Coturnix japonica: one gene and its partner. The protein of the gene in region 2 interacts with the protein of the main gene of each other region in a pairwise test. Links are inferred from orthologs where the notes say so. Each region holds a gene or a part of one and is shown on either strand. Other genes may lie near its edges.

The links. The genes of interacting proteins can lie anywhere in the genome.
Region 1: the proteins of AGR2 (region 2) and FABP2 interact in binary tests that used the Homo sapiens proteins (3 or more experiments, as listed by UniProt). The two-hybrid records come from large-scale screens. The link is inferred for Coturnix japonica from reciprocal best matches to the Homo sapiens genes AGR2 and FABP2.

What each region holds. Positions count from the first base shown.
Region 1 is NC_029519.1:48,992,599-48,996,771, forward strand, and holds the start of FABP2 (fatty acid-binding protein, intestinal), read left to right. Parts: upstream 1-1,373; 5' UTR 1,374-1,418; coding exon 1,419-1,485; intron 1,486-2,152; coding exon 2,153-2,325; intron 2,326-2,879; coding exon 2,880-2,987; intron 2,988-3,839; coding exon 3,840-3,890; 3' UTR 3,891-4,173. UniProt on the Homo sapiens protein: FABPs are thought to play a role in the intracellular transport of long-chain fatty acids and their acyl-CoA esters. FABP2 is probably involved in triglyceride-rich lipoprotein synthesis.
Region 2 is NC_029517.1:26,217,315-26,221,507, reverse strand, and holds the start of AGR2 (anterior gradient protein 2 homolog), read left to right. Parts: upstream 1-1,393; 5' UTR 1,394-1,505; intron 1,506-3,074; 5' UTR 3,075-3,082; coding exon 3,083-3,206; intron 3,207-3,293; coding exon 3,294-3,357; intron 3,358-3,439; coding exon 3,440-3,492; intron 3,493-3,733; coding exon 3,734-3,807; intron 3,808-4,193. UniProt on the Homo sapiens protein: Required for MUC2 post-transcriptional synthesis and secretion. May play a role in the production of mucus by intestinal cells. Proto-oncogene that may play a role in cell migration, cell differentiation and cell growth. Promotes cell adhesion.

The sequences.
Region 1 (4,173 bases), on a different chromosome or scaffold from region 2:
GTATAGGCAGAACAGGAGGTGTTTGCAACTAAACAGACCAGTTTGTACCACATTCAATCTTCTGGGAGACCAAAAGGTCTGGAAAACAAATGAACTCTGGTGCATGGTCAGTAGCAGCCCATTTTGAGTGCAACTACTTCAACTTTGTTTGTAACAATAATCTATGTTGTTTTCTTTTCCTCTTCCCTTAACTTCTGTACAGCCTAAAGGTGAGGAGTAGCCATTGAGTTACTTCCCCCTGCATCCTGTAAGCCAGATTAGCATTGATTTCAAAGTGAACCTGTGTGGAATGGAAAGCCACATCATTTTGGTATCACTAGCAAAATTCTAAATTTATGGTTACACTTCAGTAAAACATTTTGCTGCGGATCTGGAAGAAAAAGAAGATTATGATAACACCACACTAGTAAAATTCGTTAGAGCACAACCCTGTTAACTGTGTGATGAGCAAAATTCATTTCAGCATTCAGATTTACATTTATGTTTTGAAGCTAAGAGGCAGCAGATCTAGTGCCATCCATAGGAACAGGCTAACTATAATCCTGAATTCGGTACAAACAGATTTAGTACCAGAAAACTTGCTCAGTTTCAAACAGCACTATCTTATGGGGAAGAAAGAGCTAAGCCAGCGTGCGCTCATTTTCTGCATTATCTATCCTTCAATACTTAAAACCTGGGATCTACGGAAATCAACCATGTTGGATAAAATTCACTTAGCGGCACGTCAACTACTGTAGGAATGGACAGTAACAGAGCATTCACTGAACAGGCTATAGTATAGAGAATACACAGAAAGTGCCCTGAATTTAAACTACCTATTAAAGAGTGATGATATGAGTAGAGATTATAGCTCAGCACTAGACTAGAAAGGAGCAAATTGTTTCTGAAACTGAAGCAAGTTTTTGAAACCACCTGTGGGCATTCAATGGATCATTCATCTCATGCTTATTACATGGAGTCAAATAGATTCTCCCCAAATTAGAATGGAGATTTGTATTTGTTTTGCTGGGTAAATACATTTTCTCCAGTTGCACAAAGACTGTCCCACCAGCATAAAGTCCTATGCAACAAAGAAAATGTCAATACATTCTCCCAGTCTAATTATTACTTTCACTAGATAGACAGTTTTTTACTACAACTCAAATAAGATGAACACAATGAATGGGTTAGTGACTGTTTATAAAGAAGAGCAATAAAGATACTATCATTATTTGAGGCAATAAGGGAGGGAGAGATTCAACAGTGTGCTTACCAGTGAAAAAGTTAAACTACAGTGACCCCCTCCTTGACAAGATCAATGCCATGGTTGAGCTTTAGCCAGCCACATCATCATGTAAATTGCTTTCCTGATAAGCCAGTACATAAATTCTCTTTGCAAAGCTCTGCTACTTACCAAAAGTCTGCCTACGGACAGAAAGATGGCATTTAATGGAACTTGGAAAATTGAGAAAAATGAAAACTATGAAAAATTCATGGAAGCAATGGGTAAGCCTTACTTTTTGAATGCCTTTTAAAAGCAGGATACCACTATGGTGGAATACAAACTTAAGCTGCTCAGGAACTCCCATCTGGCTGACCTGTCTTTCGTTGTCTGCTGCTGTGCCCTTGCACACTGCCCTGCATTTATTTTCAAAAGACTCTACAGAGGGGAATGCAAGGTAGAAAAATACTCTGATTTTATTTGCGTTGTGATAATCGTATGCATTCAGCTAACTCCAGTAGAGGTACTTTAGTAGAATCTCTACATCTACATTTGTGGAAAAGGCTCAGAGAATTTGAATGGTAAACTTTAAATAGAATTATATGTAAGGAATAATATTTTCATAAGACTGTTTGAAAAATTACACAAGAAGGAAATTGCTGGTCTCCAGTTTTGCAGAACACACATGATTTGAGATATATTAACATGCCAGTGCTTACTTTAAGCTTGCACAAACTGCCTGTAATATGGATATAAACATAAGCATCCTAGTTGGATATTGGTTTGTATTACATGCTGCTGAACACTGCCTTGGTGAAAGGTGGAGAAGAGTAGGACCCTGAGTCAGAATCCTGGGCTGAGCTCCCTCAACTACAGAAAATGTCATGATATAAATGCTAATATGACGTTCTATTTTATTTTTCTCTGATTGATGCTAATTAATTTTTTTAGGTGTTAACATGATGAAAAGAAAGTTAGGAGCCCACGATAATCTGAAGCTCACTATTCAGCAAGATGGAAACAAATTTCTTGTCAAGGAATCGAGCAACTTCCGTACCATCGACATTGAATTCACTCTGGGAGTCAGCTTTGAATACAGTCTGGCTGATGGGACTGAACTTTCAGTAAGAGACTTTTGATATCAATGTGTATTCATTGGATAGCAATAACTTTACAAAGTACAGTTTCAGGATTAATGACTTGTTTTCCTAGGTTCTAGTTTAAACTTGGCTTTTAAGGTCAGGCAGTTCAGGAATGCTCGCACCTTATATATAAAGTCACAAATCAGCCCTAAATGTTAATGGTTCAGCATTGTGACAGGAAGCACAGGGATCCATTCAGTGCTCAAAAAACAGAGTATCCAGCAATTTCCATATGCTGAAATCCAGGCAATTGCAAACTTTACTTCTTATAATAGTCAAGTACACCACCTAGAATGTAGTGCGGGTATCTGTAAGAAATTAACCATATCAACAGATAAAAGGATCACCTGAGCCTGACAAAAGAGCAACTGAATAAGCTGACTTCTTCTTTAATATTTCATTTTTTTTACAGCCTTTCCAATTGAGTCCTAAAAATCATTATTACACTGTTTTAATCTCACTCCTGCAGCCTTTAAATCAAATCAGTGCCGTATTTATTGCAAAACATTTGTGTTGTTTCTTTTTCCCCATCACAGGGTTCTTGGAACCTGGAAGGAAATAAACTCGTAGGAACGTTTACTAGAAAAGATAATGGAAAAGCACTCACAGCGTACAGAGAAATTGTAGGCAGTGAACTTGTACAGGTGAGTTGAGCAGTTGCTTATACACAATTTAAGAATACAATGAACTGAAAACATTCTCAGAGATACCTTGAAAGTCCAGTGTACTTTGCTCAAAACCAAATAGCCCCAGTTATCTTCAGATTAAATCCTCAAGTCTAGTAAAAGTATTAAAATTTAGAACTTTGTAATTTGGAACATAAAACTGGCAACGTGTGATTTCCTACCTGTGTGAGCTGTATCTTATCAACACATTGTGAAGTCTGTGAATACAAGCTGTATGTAGAAGCCACATACATACTATACACATTCTCCCTGAAGGCCCCATTTTTTTTTGCCTTCTAAAGACAAAGTACAGGAGTTTTCCCAAGGATAAGGTGCTCAGCAGCTGACACAGCAGGAAGCTAGAGACAAAAGAGAAACCTTCCATAGCTCTGTGACCAGCTGGTCACAAACTTCTTAAATAAATAACCCTCCCATGAACAGGTGTGAGATCTGAGATATAAGAACACAAGGGGCCAACTCTTTCTCACATTTCTAATAAACACAGGCACAAAGGTGACACTTGGGAATATGGCATTTCAACATTTTGGGAGTGGTTTTTTGTTGGTTTTGTGTTATTATTTGTTTTGTGTTTTTATTTGAAAGCTCCAAGAACTGTCCAGTGGTAGTTCAAATGTTTCCATAGAGAATTTAGGCCTACTGACAACAGGTTGCTTGCTTTCCTTCTGTTCCTTTCCTCAGAGCCCTTCCATGGGCTTTTAAGCCCCAAATGGCCACTCGACACAATTAATTAAACCACCTTTATCACAACACCTGTGCAACGAAATTTTATATGTTAGCAATGACTGATTTTTCTTCTTAATTTCTGAACAGACCTATGTGTACGAAGGAGTTGAAGCCAAGAGAATCTTCAAAAAGGAGTAAACACTTTAGCCAAAACAGCACTGGAATCAAAATCCTATTAAAAGAAAGACAATTTTTTCTACATATACTGTTTTGTTTGTTTGTTTGTTTGTTTTTTAAATCTCCTCACAGCAACTCCTAAGCTGTGATTATCCAGCCCTAATGAAAACACAACTTTACATTTAGTGTTTTACCTCTAAAAAATAATCCAGTTAAAATCTGAAGACTAAAATGTTACTTGTGGGAAGTCTTACCTGAGTAACCAAAGGCAGCCAAAACTATTTTCTATAATCAGAATATCAAT
Region 2 (4,193 bases):
CATCTTCTGAAAACAGAAGAAAGCAAAGGTACAAAATAAATAGAAATTCACCGGAGGCTGGAGCCAAGGTGCGTATATGCGTTCAGTTTTGAGAATGCAGTTTTACACAACATTCATTTTCGCTCCAAGTGCATGAATAGAAGCCTACCTGCACATTAGCTTACTTAACCAGAGAATAACAAAAACTTCTGTTAGAGACTTAAAACTGCCAGGTGGTATCAGGTGCAGACTGAAAGGACAGTCAGTAAGAGTGCACTAAGTTCTACTTGTCTAAGACCAAGATTTTAGTCATGAGTACCCAATCTTTGACTTTTTACTCCTTGATGAGACTGCAGATGACATAAACCACACAGAAATGGGCATTACAGTGACTGACCTCCCTGGGAGGTCACTTTCCATACACCAAGCACATAAGCAAAGCATGGTACTGCTGTACATGCCAAAGTAAAAACAGATGCTTCTTACCCCATATTCCCAATCACCCTTTACAAAAGATTTTTTAAAAGTGATCCAAAGCACTATTTTCTCTTAAGTATATTCATGCCATGAACTGCCATCAGAGAGCAGTGTAGATCTCAGATAGTAAGTCCATGCATCACATTCAGCCCTCACCATGAACCTGTAGTTTCAATCACACTAGAACACAGGAGGCCTGCACCTAGAGGAACACATTTTTGTTTCAGTCAGTTGTGCCAAACACCCTCTCATCACACTGAGGAAGGAGCTGAGTAGGCCCTGCAGCACTAAGATGGATGCGTGGGAGAGTTCTGCCTCACTATACAAGTATCTGAAACCCAAAAAGGATGGTTTTCATGATGTATGTGTCCACACAACTAATTAAACACGGAATTTAAATTAAACTCTTATTTAAGCCTCAGCTTATGAACACACTTAGACCTGTACACCTGTGCCTGTTACACCTGTAGCTACAAAACACCTCCCTGCTGAGAGCTTTATAACCATTCTCTAGCATTTCATTAAACTTTTCTTGTGTGGTGCTATTTGTGCATGTATACATACACGTATAACGCACACAGTTAATTACCTAATTAACATCTGGAGCTCTGAGTCACCAATTTCACTTTTTCAGAGGAATAAAGGAACGGTGACCGACCCATGTGCGTTTTCCAGCCAATCAAAAAAAGACAAATCACTCCTCAGGCAAATCAGGAGTCTCAACTTAAGCTTACCTGGACTTGGATCTTTGCCAGCATTTTTAAATCACTTTCCTAAATGTTCTAAAAAGCCCCCAGAAACATCTCTGAGCTTTACAGTCAATGCAGGGCAGGAAAGTGTGGTATGAATTCATAACAAAATTAACCCTGCACGCTTTGGTAGGAGAAAGATTGGCAAGTGTAGCTCTTTGGAAATAGTATTCAAATTCAAAGCTCATGGGTGGAGACGGGGAGTGCAAAGGTGCATAAATAGGCAGGAGGGAGCGTGGTGCTCTCACTGTGACCAGGAACACCTTCGCACCCCAGCAGGCACCTGGCTGAGCACACACGGTAAGGCAGCGCTCACTCTTCGGAACTACCTGCGTAACACTGGGCTAATTGGGGCTACAGCCATGGGAAGGAGAGGCAGCAGTGTGGGCACAGCACAGCTCCTAGCCATTAGGATACACAGATATGTTGTCTTTGCAAGTTAGAAGGCGTAGGAAAAAAGGGGGGCTTTATGGAGCAGAAAACTAAGCAGAAGTGCACACAGCCTTCCAAAGGGGAAGTTTTCAAAGAGGAGGTTTAGTGTTTCTGTCTTGGCTTTCTGCACCAGTAACAGTGTAAACTTTGCATTCCTATAAACCTTTGACTTCCTGGTCATCCAATACCTTTTCTTTTTTTCTTCCTCTTTTCAGTAAGCATTACTTCCTCTACACAGCTACAGCCAAAACAACACAAGGTAGCCTTGAAAATCCATGATATGTAATGTAAACTTATTCAATTCTTTCCCTTTCCAAGGGGACTTTTCCTGGGACAGATAGTCTCCTGCAAAATCCTATTTCATTCGCTTGAAATCTACTCTGTGGTTGCTTAGAGGTCTGTTGGACACCTTGCAGTTAAGAGCATTGTTTCACTGATGCAGATTCAGCTAATGCCTCCTCCTGCACTTCTTACCCAGAGAAAAGATTCTGTTTTTCCTCAGACTTCTCATTTTCATTGTATTTTAAAAGCTGTCTGTTTAAATGTTTTTTGCATGAATGTTCTGAATTTTCTGTATTGGTTTTGGAATTCCTTACGACTTCCTACCGTACTCAATATACTGCTATTTCAGTTTTAGGAATAAGCTTAATGAGAAAAATATAGGGTCATGCAAAGGATTTTCCCCCTTCAAAGCATCACAGCTGAAATGCTGAGCAGCTTCCATCAGTCATGCCTCATCTCCACCCCCATGCCTTAGTCAGGTGCAGGACAAGCAGTTTGCTTTGTGCTGCTTATAATGGCAAAATGCACTTTAGTTCTCACTGCTCCCCACTCATTCTATTGTAGATTCGACTGCTTTTCAGGATTAGATGATGCTAATGAGAAAGGACAGGATGTAAAGTTTCAATAGCAGCTTTCGGCTGTGTCTGTGTAATGCATTACTGTCAAACCCAGCTTAGACTTCTACATCTCATTTGAGTTGCTCTTGCTGCAAAACAGATGAAGAGCCCACACAAGTTAATTTGTCAACACCCATGCTGTTAAACTGCCCAGTTACTTTATCAGTGGGAGATCCAGAGAGAAATGGGAGTTGATTAGGACTTAGAATTACTATTGAAATCGATAAAACTCTGTTGTTTCACTGAGCAAACTCAATATATGTAAAAGGAACAAAGAGAAACTTAACACAGGTGCACATCTTAATAAGACCACAGGTCAGTGGCACCAACACAGCAGAAAGCAGCCAAATCCTTCATGACCCTTAGCTAAGCAAAGCTTAGCAAACCTCTCCCTTCCCTTACACTCCCCCAAGCCTCCACCTGGAGCAGGCAGCTGACTCACCCAGCTGCATACCTGACCACGGCGGTGCCTCGGGCTGCACCTCAGAACCAGCAGCAGGGAGGGACAGAGAAATGAAGGCTCTCTTCCTCATCCCAGGGGCAGCCATGGAGAAGAGCTACGTGTCCGTGTTCCTGCTGCTCGTGGCCATCTCCTGTGTTCTGGCAAAAGATATAGGCAAGAAGGAGACGAAGGAGACTAAACCAAAACTGCCTCAAACACTCTCCAGAGGTAAAAATATATATAGATAGATAGATAGATACCACAGGTCCCACTTGTATGTATGTGACGTTTTCCTACCCTCTCCTTTCCCTGCAGGCTGGGGGGACCAGCTCATCTGGACTCAGACGTACGAGGAAGCTCTATTCCGCTCAAAGAACAGGTAGGGCAACCCCTCGCTGCAGCACTCCCTACCGGCCACCCCGCACACCACCCCGCTAACCAGGCTCCTTCCTCTCCCCCAGCAACAAGCCCCTGATGATTATCCACCACCTGGATGACTGCCCACACAGCCAAGGTGAGGCTTCTGTGCACAAAAGGGAAAAAGAAAAGGAGACACGCTTTGTACCACCACGCTCGCTCTTTACCACAGAACAAAACGGAGTTAATCATCCATCAGTGCAATGGAGAGAGCGATTTTTATTAGCTGTAACTGTGAACTTCATATTCTCACATATCAATTTGTTTAAATTTTCTTCTCTAGGGCAATATTACATGCTTTCTTTTTTAATTATCATTGCTCATTGCTTTCATTCTAGCACTCAAGAAGGTCTTTGCTGAACATAAGGAAATACAGAAACTGGCTGAAAAATTCATTCTCCTGAACCTTGTGGTGAGTGTCCCTTTCACACTTCAGGTGAAAGCAATAAAGTTTTACTTATGATTATGGCTCTTCTAGCTCTAAGTAGACACTTTTATAGCAGGGATTGGCGAGGAAAAACGCTCAGTGCTGGAGCATAATAGATTTAGTAATAAAGCTCTTACATCTCCAGCTCCCATAACTACTAAATAGGAAGGTATTTAAATTTTAATGTATTGCTGCCATTAACTGTTATCATCAGTTCCCAACTCTAGCAGCTTAAAGGTTGTATCCCAGGCAGTGGATTTCTGGAATGGTTAACATATTGCTTAGCTTGCATTAATTACCCTGAGCATAAAGAAGAAAACATCCATGTTACATGCTGTCTTGCAATCTTGACCTGGAATCACATCTGCTTT